3 linked regions of the Macaca fascicularis genome follow. The protein of the gene in region 1 binds, or shares a complex with, the protein of each later gene. Links are inferred from orthologs where the notes say so. Each region holds a gene or a part of one and is shown in the gene's direction. Other genes may lie near its edges. The genes, in order: TEAD4, FAM181A and FAM181B.

What was found.
Region 2: the proteins of TEAD4 (region 1) and FAM181A are in contact, whole or in part, in a crystal structure (PDB 6SEN), measured with the Homo sapiens proteins. The link is inferred for Macaca fascicularis from reciprocal best matches to the Homo sapiens genes TEAD4 and FAM181A. Residues at the interface, in NP_003204.2 of Homo sapiens: Glu263, Ala264, Val265, Gln269, Ile270, Asp272, Lys273, Leu295, Lys297, Trp299, Glu391, Val414, Glu416, Ser418, Ala419, Ser420, Gly423, Gln425, His426, His427, Tyr429; in NP_612353.3 of Homo sapiens: Pro191, Met192, Arg195, Gln196, Leu197, Pro198, Ser200, Phe201, Trp202, Glu203, Glu204, Pro205.
Region 3: the proteins of TEAD4 (region 1) and FAM181B are in contact, whole or in part, in a crystal structure (PDB 6SEO), measured with the Homo sapiens proteins. The link is inferred for Macaca fascicularis from reciprocal best matches to the Homo sapiens genes TEAD4 and FAM181B. Residues at the interface, in NP_003204.2 of Homo sapiens: Glu263, Ala264, Val265, Asp266, Gln269, Ile270, Asp272, Lys273, Leu295, Lys297, Trp299, Glu391, Val414, Glu416, Val417, Ser418, Ala419, Ser420, Gly423, Gln425, His426, His427, Tyr429; in NP_787081.2 of Homo sapiens: Pro221, Leu222, Arg223, Arg225, Asn226, Leu227, Pro228, Ser230, Phe231, Phe232, Thr233, Glu234, Pro235.

What each region holds. Positions count from the first base shown.
Region 1 is NC_088385.1:3,905,596-3,909,221, forward strand, and holds part of TEAD4 (transcriptional enhancer factor TEF-3), read left to right. Parts: intron 1-438; coding exon 439-578; intron 579-1,585; coding exon 1,586-1,759; intron 1,760-3,626. UniProt on the Homo sapiens protein: Transcription factor which plays a key role in the Hippo signaling pathway, a pathway involved in organ size control and tumor suppression by restricting proliferation and promoting apoptosis.
Region 2 is NC_088381.1:161,937,087-161,941,183, forward strand, and holds the start of FAM181A (protein FAM181A), read left to right. Parts: upstream 1-1,234; 5' UTR 1,235-1,250; intron 1,251-3,257; exon of another isoform or gene 3,258-3,368; intron 3,369-4,097.
Region 3 is NC_088388.1:81,723,735-81,727,597, reverse strand, and holds FAM181B (protein FAM181B), read left to right. Parts: upstream 1-1,491; 5' UTR 1,492-1,625; coding exon 1,626-2,906; 3' UTR 2,907-3,339; downstream 3,340-3,863.

The sequences.
Region 1 (3,626 bases):
TGGGGAGACACCTGTGACGCACACAGGAAACGTCCCCGTCTCTCCAGGGCGATGCCACATTGTGATAGTTGATTCATCTGGTTATTTCCCCGACGGGAACAGAAGTTGCTGGACAGCAGGAACTGAACAGTGCCTGTTCTGGAAGCCGTGGTCCTGCAGGACCCCAGTTGCCCTCCAGAATCCAGTCTTGCTGGGCGGTTCCATGCAGAGTCCTGAGCGGCCTGAGTTGTACCAGGCGAGCCCCTCCCCACCAGAGAGGCTCCAGGATGCCCAAGCCTTGCACTCTCTCCTCCACCTCTGCTAGGAGGTCCGTTTAGGGAGACAGGCGGCCCCCCAGGCAGCACGGGTCTGTCCGAGGAGGCCGGGGGTCCTTGCAGAGGGTGCGGGCAGGGCGGGTGTCCGTGACCAGGTTCCATGTGCCTCTCTCACTTTGTGCAGGGTTTGAGTCTCCTGCAGGGCCCGCCCCATCGCCCTCTGCGCCCCCGGCACCCCCGTGGCAGGGCCGCAGCGTGGCCAGCTCCAAGCTCTGGATGTTGGAGTTCTCAGCCTTCCTGGAGCAGCAGCAGGACCCGGACACGGTAGGTCCTGGCCTGTGCCTGGCTGGCTCCCCGCCACCCCCTCTGCCTCTGTTTCTGCTTCCAGTGCTCTTGTCCCACTCCACACTGGGGCTTAATTCAAGTTCCTTGTTCCTTTATGGTCTTTCCTTCCATCCTTCCCCCGACTCCTTTCCTCCTTCACGTCACCCCCTTCCCTCTTTCCCTCCTCCCTGGCCCAGTGCCCTGTTCCTCCCTCCCTGTCCTGTGTTCCTCCCCTCCTAACCCAACCAACCCTTAGTCCAAGGTCGCTGTGGTCCCAGCCCCACCCCCACACTGTCCCAGCCTTTCCCTGGCTCTGAGAGGCAGGCAGGAAGCTGGGGAGTCTCCTGTACGTCTGCTCCACATCCTACGGGATGCCAGCCTGTCCCCTTCAGTGTCCAGTGTCCTGGGTGACCAGCGTCACCTGCAAAGATCAGAGGGGGACCTGGAGGAGGCCAGCGTGACAGGATGCCAGGGCCCTTCTCACTCTGACATCTTCAAACTTTTTTTTTTTTTCTTTTCTTGAGACAGAGACTTGCTCTGTCGCCCAGGCTGGAGTGCAGTGGTGTGATCTCAACTTACTGCAACCTCTGCCTCCTGAGTTCAAGCGATTCTCCTGCCTTAGCCTCCCGAGTAGCTGGGATTATAGGTGCCCGCCACCACACCTGGCTAATTTTTGTATTTTTAGTAGAGACTGGGTTTCACCATGTTGGCCAGGCTGGTCTTGAACTCCTAACCTCAGCTTCCCAAAGTGCTGGGATTACAGGTGTGAGCCACTGTGCCCAGCTCAAACTTCTTTTTAACTGACGACCCTGTGAACCGAATAGACTCTTAGAAGTTCAGGATGTAAAATAAAAGAAGTCTTTTACCATCTCCATTTCACTTACGGGGAAACTATGGTCCAGAAAGGCCAAGCGGCTTGCGCCGGGTCACGTGGTGGGCATGCAGAGCTGGGACTGTCTGACCGTCTGGCCTGTGCTCCGCCTCCCTCAGACCCACTCTCTCTACAGTACAACAAGCACCTGTTCGTGCACATTGGCCAGTCCAGCCCAAGCTACAGCGACCCCTACCTCGAAGCCGTGGACATCCGCCAAATCTATGACAAATTCCCGGAGAAAAAGGGTGGACTCAAGGAGCTCTTTGAACGGGGACCCTCCAATGCCTTTTTTCTCGTGAAGTTCTGGGTAAGCCTGTGATAAACTCTTCCTTCCTACCACCAGGGCGTCCGTGGTAGTGAGAATGGGGCGAGAGTACCCAGAGCGTGCCCTTGCCACAGTAGAAACTTGGGGAGGTGGCACCAGTGAGAAGGGGAGAGCAAGCCCAGCATGGCTATGGGGTGGTCAGAGCTGAGCTGAGGAACAAGGCGGTGATCCCAGAGAGCTGGCCTAGTCGAATGAAGCCTTGTCTCGTGGGTGGTGATGGCAGCTAACCCCGGCAAGACGTGGAGCCCTCAGGAGGTGAAGTTCCAGAAAAAGACAAAGGGGACCCTACGGGGATGAGTGAAGACATTATGAGGAGCGCCCTTGTCACCCAGGTCTTTGAATGACAAGTCCTGCATGGGTTTCTGGGCCTGGAGCTTGTCCTTCAGTGCTCATGTCCAAGGCATGTTGGGCTGAACAGAGCTTGGAGAAGGGGAGGGAAGTGTTGGATGGGCGAGGCCACCCCAGAAGAAACACCCACCCAACTTCTCAGATAGCTCAGCCCATAGACTTGGCCTCTGCGGCCCTCCCACCTCACCCCTGGGCAGGTGTTTTGTGGGTAGAACCCCCTCCATTAGAAACGTCTTGTCTGAGGCCCAGAGGTACAGTAGCTGCCCTGGGAGCTTAGCTTCCTGCGGGCCCAGTATGTGCAGAAAAGGGGTGCGAGGAGAGAGTCAGACAGATAAGTGCTAATGAAGCCAGCAGTGAGGAAGGACAGGAAATCAGGCTCTGTGACTGAGGGTTGGAATATTCTCAGGACATGGACTGAGGTTTTGGTGGCTCTGCCCGCATCCCTCTTCCCCACTCCCCTTCAGCTCTCTGCACACTCTTTTCTTTTTTTTTTTTGAGACGGAGTCTCGCTCTGTCGCCCAGGTTGGAGTGCAGTGGCGCGATCTCGGCTCACTGCAAGCTCCGCCTCCTGGGTTCACGGCATTCTCCTGCCTCAGCCTCCCCAGTAGCTGGGACTACAGGCGCCTGCCACCACGCCCGGCTAATTTTGTTTTGTATTTTTTTTTTTTTTTTTTTTTGGGACGGAGTGTCGCTCTGTCGCCCAGGCTGGAGTGCAGTGGCCGGATCTCAGCTCACTGCAAGCTCCGCCTCCCGGGTTTACGCCATTCTCGTGCCTCAGCCTCCCGAGTAGCTGGGACTACAGGCGCCTGCCACCTCGCCCGGCTAGTTTTTTGTATTTTTAGTAGAGACGGGGCTTCACCGTGTTAGCCAGGATGGTCTCGATCTCCTGACCTTGTGATCCGCCCGCCTCGGCCTCCCAAAGTGCTGGGATTACAGGCGCGAGCCACCACGCCCGGCCTTACACGTTCTTTTCGATGCCTCTTGTGCAGAGATTCTTACCATTTATTTGCTCCCAGGCCATTTTCCTAATCTGAAAGCTTTACTTTTCCTAGAAAGACGCGTATTCACACCAAAGTTTACATACACGTTCGGATGGCTTTGCCAGCTCCCAGTGAGCAGCCCCCAGCCTGGCTGTCACCCACAGCTGAACGTGGGGGCAGGCTGTCTCCAGAAGGGACAAGTGTTGGAACTGAGACCTATGGCCTCTGACCTTCAAGACACTTAGCGTTTGCGCTCAACTAGCAGGATGGAAGTTGGACCCCAGCCTGAGGGATGGGCATATCTGTTGGCAGAGATGGGCAAGGCTGTTGCAGCCTAGGAGTGCATGAGTAGTAAAGGCAGAAGGAAGTGAGCTCTGGAGTGAAGTTGAAGCCGTAGGTAAAGGTATGAAAGAGGGAATAAGAGGAGACAACTGGGAAAGTGAGTTACATTCTGGAAGGTCTTGATCATGCTAAAGTTTGAGTTTTAACCTGTTTTGGAATGAAAAATAAGTAATATTTTA
Region 2 (4,097 bases), on another chromosome or scaffold:
TTTAGTAAGAAGCTACTCTGTGCCAGACTGTAGTAGGAGTCAGATTACTAAGGGTCTTCTGCATTTAGCTAAGGAGGTTAGACTTCATCTTTGACTCTAGGAACACAGGGATGTGAGAGGGCATTATTAACAATGCTAGGAGTTGGCAGGAGGCATCCTGGAGGAGGGGATGTTTGAGCTGGGCCTTGAAGAATGGCTGAGAGGACAGGGTTGGCTGAGTTGGGCCCAAGAATCAGGTTTGAGGCTTCTGTGAGTGTGTCACCAACTGTAAATGGGAAAAATAATCCCCTCTGCCCAGACACAGGACAATAATGAGAGAACACTGGGAGAACCTTCAGACTCGTATGATTACTGCTGTCTTTCCACCTGCCTATATGGCCAATCACAAAAACACAGAGAGCCTTCCCTTGTGTGGGTCAGAGGCACCGAGAGGCCTGGCCTCAAGCCATAGCTGCCTCCTCTCCCCGCTCCTCACTTCCCAAAGCTGCAGCTCCCGTATTCCTGAGTCAGGAAGGTCCAACGTTGGGCTAGAAGAGTGGAACCCAGGACGCGTGGAGAAAATCTGGTCTTGGCCAGCAGCGTTTAGGCAGTGTCTGGTGCTCATGGGAGCGCCAGGAGGCAATGTGGCCAGGCAGATCCACCTCAGCCTTTGGACGCAGACAGGCCTGGCTTCAAGTTCGAGCTCTGCTGGTTAACAGCTGTGAGGCCTTGGGAAAGTAACTCAACCTCACTTCACTTGTCAGGGCAACCGAAACACTATCCTCACGGAGCTGCCCCGAGGGTCACGTGAGGTCTTCATGTGGCTCGAATATGGCTCTTGGCACATGCTGAGTGTCTGCAAAGAATCCATTTTCTTCCACTTTTCTCTCCCCTTCCTTTCTCGCTTCCCTCTTTTCTTCCTTCTCTCTTTCCTCAAAAAGTGTTTGGTGGAAGAACAGCCCACATTCAGAGCTTTGGAAAGACTTTCATAAGACACCGACTCACCTCCCATGGAGTCCACGGGCCTGGTGGGGACTCACTACTAGCTAAGAAATGAGAGTCATCTTCATGATCTGGCAGTGCGGAATGGGCCGGCAGGGCTGCAGGTGCCGTGGGATCTCGAGGACTCTGGGAGCTGAGCTGAGTGGCTTTAAAATGTCTTGACGCCCTTAGAAGAGAAAAGATCTTCTGGAGAGCGGAATGATGCAGCCTACAGAAAGCACAGAAGGCCCGGGGAGAAAAAGGCAGGGCACAGCAAAGCAGGCTGTTATGTGGTCAGGTGCTGGCTGCCAGAGATGTTCGAACTCTTGGCTGTGCACACCAGCTTCATGCAGTAGGCAGCAGGGAGCTGGCCCTGGTGGCCGCAGGCCCTCAGGACACTCTCTCCAGCCACGTGTGCCAGGTGTTTTGGAGCAGAAAGGATATTTCCTGCCTGTACCAGTCAGGATGGGCTGGGAGTTACTGCAGAAACACATAGCCCTCGAATCTCTGGCACTTAAAATGATGATGGTTTGGCTCTCACCCGTGCAAAGGTTGCCACAGGCAGGAGCAACTCTCCAGGGCACATAGTGGCCGACAATCTAGGATGCGTCAGTCCAGCGGCGCTTCCGTCTCAGTCCACACTTCCCCGACCCCGCAGCAGGAGAGGAGCATGGAGAATACAGTGCTGGCTTTCAAGGCCTAAATTGAGTTACAGCTTGTCAGCACGGGCCATCTCCTCCAAACCCTTCATTTTGCCTGTAGGGACCCTCAGGCTGGGGGTAGGGGAGATGGCTTGGAGGCAGACCACAGCAGCTGTCTAATGGCCAGTGGGAAGGAGTTGGGGCCATCCCTCCTGGATGGAGGCCCTGGCCCTGCCCTGCCAATGCCCCCAGTCTGGGTAGGGAGACTCCAGAGAGGAGTCCTGCAACCTAAGATGCCAAATCTTAGGTTGCAGTACAGAGGCGTGGGTTGGCGCATAGACCGTCAGCCATCTGGCTGATGAGGGAGACAGGAGGACAAGGCAGTAGAAGGGGAAGAGGAAAGGAAGGGGAAGGAGAGGAGGAGGGAAGAGGAGGCTGAGCCTGGACAGAAAAACGATGAGGCTTGAAAGGGGCCCATGAGTTGGGCTGGCACGGAGGCACGACCATTAGCATTTCCCAGGCAGCCGCCCTCGCCTTCAGCCTCACCTTCCCTCTGGCCAGTTGGTGGGCAGGGCCAGCGCCGGCTCTGGGCTCCCTTGCTTGCTCAGAGCGGCCCTGCTTGCAGCCCCGCCGGCGTTGGCACGGTGACAGTAGCCAAGTGTGCAAACTTGTGCCATTGTCCGCAGGCCAGGGGGAGCCATGGAAACTGGCTAATATGACACAGGAAAATGTTTGCTGATGGCAATTCTATGGGCTTTGTCCACCTCTTTCTCCATCATGACGACTCGATTTAAGTCCCTAACTGTTTGACTACAAATGCAAGGGGACCGTGCAACGCCAACCTTTTGTCCGGCTGCGCTGAATGGGCAATTCAGGCTTTGTGCAGCTCAATTGAGGAAGCAAACATAAAGACAAGATTCCTGAGAGCTCCAGCTCCCTTCCCATGGATATCCCAGCACCTCGTTACAGAGTCCTTCCTCGGCCACCTTTTCCGACAGGCATCAGCGCACCTCCCGACCTCGAAGGCCCTCCATCCCCGATCCCTGGGGATCCTGGCAGGGAGGGTGGTGGGGATGGCAGGTGGGGGGGGGGGAGAGAGAGAGAGAGAGAGAGAGAGAGAGAGAGAGAGATGGAGAGACAGAGAGAGAGGAGAAGAGAGAGTGAGAGAGAGAGAGCCACTCAACACTCAAGGACAGCGGGAAAAGCAGCCCGCCCCAGCTTACCCCGTCCGATTGTCTGTCCGCACTGGAGCATGGCAGCTGTAGGCCTGGAGTCTTTGGGGGAGGTTTGCAAGCCTGTCTCTACTAGGCCCAGCCCCTTCTCGATCCTGGACATTTTAAACACACACACACACACACACACACACACACACACACCACCCCCTTGAGAAACCAGGGAACCGAGGTCAAGGGGAGGAGGAGCGTGGAGGCCCAGGAGAGTGGGGCTGAAGGGTAAAAATTTACCGGGAAATGATTGCATTTGGGAGCTGTCTTTTTTGTGATGGTCCCCATGGTGACAATTTGTGACGGCAAAGAATGTGGGAACGGGGCGCCGCTGCCTGATTGGGATGCTTTGTATCTGGAGAGGCGCTCCTGATTGGCCTGAGGGGCCCCCCAGCTCCGGGGAGTTGTCCTCCATTCAGCCCACTCGAGGGTTGCACAACTGCTTCCAGCCGGACGGAGCTCAGCCGGCTGCGCCAGGGCCTGTCCCAGGTCTGCAGTGGGGAACCTGCCGGGCCACGTTGGCTGGGCCCTGGCCGCACCTTCGGTCAGTGTGGAGGCCCGGTGGCTCTGGCCCGACTGGGTGGCGGGTGTGGAGCAGGCTGGGGCCTGGGGGAGGGGCGAGGTGCTGTGGGTGGCGGCCGAGGAGGCATGAAATTGCTGCAGATGCTTCTTCAGGGGAGTCCCTGCTGCCCGCAGCCTGAGATCAGCCTGCAAGGCAGGTCTCGATTAAGTGCCAGACAGGGGTCCTGCCTGGTCCTGCGTGAGAGCTGGGGGTGGAGCGTGGGGACTGAGGAGGGGGGGCTGGCGCTCCTCATGCCGGGGACGGGAGTGGTGGGAGGGGGAGGCTACCACCAGGGAGGAAGGGGGCTTGGCCTTGCTTTAAAGTGGAGCAGTTGCCTCAGCTCAGAGAATAAACACCTCGCTGGCAAGTTGGCAGCGCGGTGTGTGGGAGACGGGGCAGGCTGGGAATGTGTGCCAGCCCCAGTAATGCCACCTGTAGCTGGGTCACCTTGGGCAAGTTGCTTGACCTTTCTGAGCCTTGGCTGCAAGAAGAGGGCACCAGACGCAAGCAGGCTGGGTGAGGCTCTGCTGGCGCCTGCTGCATCCCAGGTGTGCAGGAAGTGCTCAGCCACTTGCACCCACATCCCTCTACCCAGGACTCTGTTTAAGGCTGAGGGGTGCTGGGGTGGGGACACCGTTTGCAGACAGGTGCTGTGGTCTTTTGGCAGTGTTGGGTGTGGTTGCTCGGAGAGACTCCAATGGCCTGTTTTGT
Region 3 (3,863 bases), on another chromosome or scaffold:
GATGATGGGTCAACTTTATGATTTTCCAACTTTACAAAGGATTGATCAGTGTATTACATGCATTTCAACCTACAATATTTTCAACTTATGATGGGTTTATCAGGATGTTGCTCCATCATAAATCGAGAAGCATCTGTGATCTCACTTAATGCTCATGTACACCCTATGATCCAGAAGACACATAAGGGAATATAGTCACCTTTTTGTGTTTCAGAGAAGTAAGGGTGAATACTCATCCAGGCTATGGAATAATGTATCATTTAAACATCACAGTTGCCCTGTGGGGAGGGCAACTTTACCTGCTTTTAACATGAGTAAGCTAAACAGAGTACGCTGGTTTGTCTAAAGCCATGAACTCAGCAGAGCAAGGATTTCAACCTAAGTCAAGAGGTTATTGAGTGGTGGCTAAGACCAGAATCCAACCCTTTTCTGAATTTCTTATGAAAATGACCTTATTGCTCATTTTCTCTATCTATCCCAAAAGGATTGCCCAGGTGAAATTAGTTTTAAGTGAACTTCAAGATGATTCTCCAAATGCAACGAAAATTCCAGGATAACCTAAATGGTATGACAGGTAGGGGAGAGGTTCCAATCCGTCTTTTGTTCTAACATGCTAAGAGTTTTATACACACACGGTGTTCTCAAGCAACAGGGGACTTAGCCAGATTGACTCCTTTCTCCATTGCCTCCCGCTATGTATTAATAAAAGATGGGCCACTGCTGGCCTCAATTTACTGTTAGCCAATTGTTACTCATAACAATCAAGTGGCAAACAGTCAAGAAGAAAGAGCACTGGGCTTGAGAATCCTGGGAAAACTCAGGTTAGAACCTTAGGATCAGGTCTAGAGCTTTAAGAAATACTCATTTTCCTCCCCCATCTTATAGATGAGAAAGGCAAGGGCAAGAGAGGACGCAAGCATTGTCAGGGGCTTAGGAATGGCTTTGGTGTCAGACTGGGCTAGATCTGACCTTGGCCAACTCACTGAACCTCCCTGAGACGCAGTGTCCACATTTGTTGAACGGTGATAACATGTAATTCACAGGGCTGTTGTTCAAGGATTAAATGAGATAATAGATGGACAGCGCCTGGCAGAAGCAAGCGCCCAGAAGCTGGTAGGTGTTGTTACACAGCTGGACTGAAACCCCACGTCTCTAGACTCCCGCCTTCTTGCCTCAGGAAAGGCACCACCGCAAGTACCTGCAGAAGCATATCAAGCCCTGCAGCGGCCTCACGGGCATGAGCTGGAGTTTGGGGACCAGCCATCTCTTCCTAACCCCTTGCGGTTGGAGGAGTCAAAAGAAACGCCGCGGAGCAAAGGGAAACGAAGGGGTTAAGGCGTTGAGCTTGAGAAAGCTCAGAAAACTAAAGCGACCCCCCGCCCCTCCAAGCCAGGCTAAGTAAGCCCCTCCCCTGCACCACCGGGGCGGTCGCCGCGCGCTCCCTCCCTCCGCCCCTTGCTTACAAGACCTAATGAGCTCCCCTGGGAGGCCGCGCAGCGAGCCAGGCACGGAGCTGGTAGGCTGCGCCGCGCGCGCCGCGCCGGGGCGGGAGCCGGGCCTGGGCGGCGGGCAGGAGCCGGCGGGGGCGCACGGGTAGCGCTGCGGACAGCCGGGGAGCCGCGGCGATGGCGGTGCAGGCGGCGCTCCTCAGCACGCACCCTTTCGTGCCCTTCGGCTTCGGGGGCTCCCCGGACGGGCTAGGGGGCGCCTTCGGAGCCCTGGACAAGGGCTGCTGTTTCGAGGACGATGAGACCGGGGCTCCGGCGGGCGCGCTGCTCTCGGGAGCCGAAGGAGGGGACGTGCGCGAGGCCACCCGCGATCTACTCAGCTTCATTGACTCGGCGTCCAGCAACATCAAGCTGGCGCTGGACAAGCCGGGCAAGTCGAAGCGGAAGGTGAACCACCGCAAGTACCTGCAGAAGCAGATCAAGCGCTGCAGCGGCCTCATGGGCGCCGTGCCCCCCGGCCCGCCCTCCCCGAGCGCCACTGACACGCCCGCCAAACGGCCACTGGCCGCCCCTAGCGCCCCGACAGTCGCGGCCCCGGCCCACGGCAAGGCTGTCCCCCGGCGGGAGGCGTCTCAGGCCGCGGCGGCCGCCAGCTTGCAAAGTCGAAGTCTGGCCGCGCTCTTCGACTCGCTACGCCACGTCCCCGGGGGTGCCGAGCCGGCAGGGGGTGCGGTGGCTGCACCGGTGGCCGGGCTAGGAGGTGCGGGCACTGGGGGCGCCGGAGGGGACGCGGCCGGCCCCGCGGGGGCCACGGCGGTCCCAGGGGCCAGGAAGGTCCCACTGCGGGCCCGCAATCTGCCTCCGTCCTTCTTCACGGAGCCGTCCCGGGCAGGCGGCGGCGGGTGTGGCCTGTCGGGGCCGGACGTGAGCTTGGGCGACCTGGAGAAGGGCGCGGAGGCCGTGGAGTTCTTTGAGCTGCTGGGGCCCGACTACGGCGCCGGCACCGAGGCGGCCGTCTTGCTGGCCGCTGAGCCTCTCGACGTGTTCCCCGCCGGAGCCTCCGTACTGCGGGGACCCCCGGAGCTGGAGTCCGGCCTCTTTGACCCGGCGCCCGCAGTGGTGGGAAACCTACTGTACCCCGAGCCCTGGAGCGTCCCGGGCTGCCCCCCGACCAAAAAGCCCCCCCTGACTGCCCCCCGCGGCGGCTTGACCTTGAACGAGCCCTTGCGCCCGCTGTACCCGGCTGCTGCGGACTCTCCCGGTGGGGAGGACGGGCCGGGCCATTTGGCCTCTTTCTCCCCTTTCTTTCCAGACTGCGCCCTGCCCCCGCCGCCGCCGCCCCATCAGGTGTCCTATGATTACAGCGCGGGCTACAGCCGCAACGCTTATTCCAGCCTTTGGAGACCCGACGCGGTTTGGGAAGGGGCGCCGGGGGAGGAGGGGGCGCACCGGGACTGACTTGGAGGCACCCTTCCCTCCGTTAGAGACGGATGTGGAGAGCGCCGCGCCTCCATGGGTTTCTCCTAAATCTAAAGAACGGTGGAAAATACACGTGGAGATGAAACCGGATTTTTAAAAATTCAGTTAATAAAAGCAACTTCAGAAAAAAGAGATGAAGAGGAGTTGGGGATTGTTTAATCACAACCTCACGTGTTAAAACAAAACCAAACACGTTGGTAGGTTCTTACTGGACCAGAGGAGCCAAGAAACCAAGACGGTATGGGGTGGGGACGGCAGAAGGGGCAAGAGCTGGCTTCTGTAGCCACCTGTCTTTTCTATTTTTCAGCGAAGGTCAGTGTGTTTAGTGTAATTGCCCCTTCTAAACAGTGTCCTAGTCCCTCCCTTCCCTCTCCTTGAGTGCATTTTGAATTAAAGCGTATATTGAAAAGAATGGAGCGGAGACTTATTGATTTGGGTGTTTTCTTACAGGACGGTTTTTCGTCTGGTCCCTTGGCTTTGTTAGGTGAGCCTGTGGCTGAGGACGGAGGCCGGTGGTCCACTGCTGACCTCCTTTGCTGGTCCTTGGGTAGGGTTCTCTTCTGTCACACTTTAACGTTTTTGTTTTTTTTTTTTTCCTGCCCGCTTCTTGCTTCTATCTCCTTCCACCCTTATCAGTCCCAGTGCTTACTTTCCTTCTTTCTTTGCCTGGCCTCTCATTGCTCTATTTCTTTCGGCCAGCTTTTCTTGCTCATCTCTTTTGTAGGAGACTTAAATTTGGCAAACCTGGGTTCCATTTCTCTCCTGTCTTTCCCCCATTTTCCAGCCACTTTGGGAGGGAGAGATTGGGCAAATTGTAACCTCTTTGTATCAGTTTCCTGATCTAAGAGGGTGAGGATGGTAATGTTCTTGTACTCCACAGCTGGTTGGGTAGCTCAGGGGGAAATAAAGTGTCTTGAGGCTGTGGCGGTGCTTGAT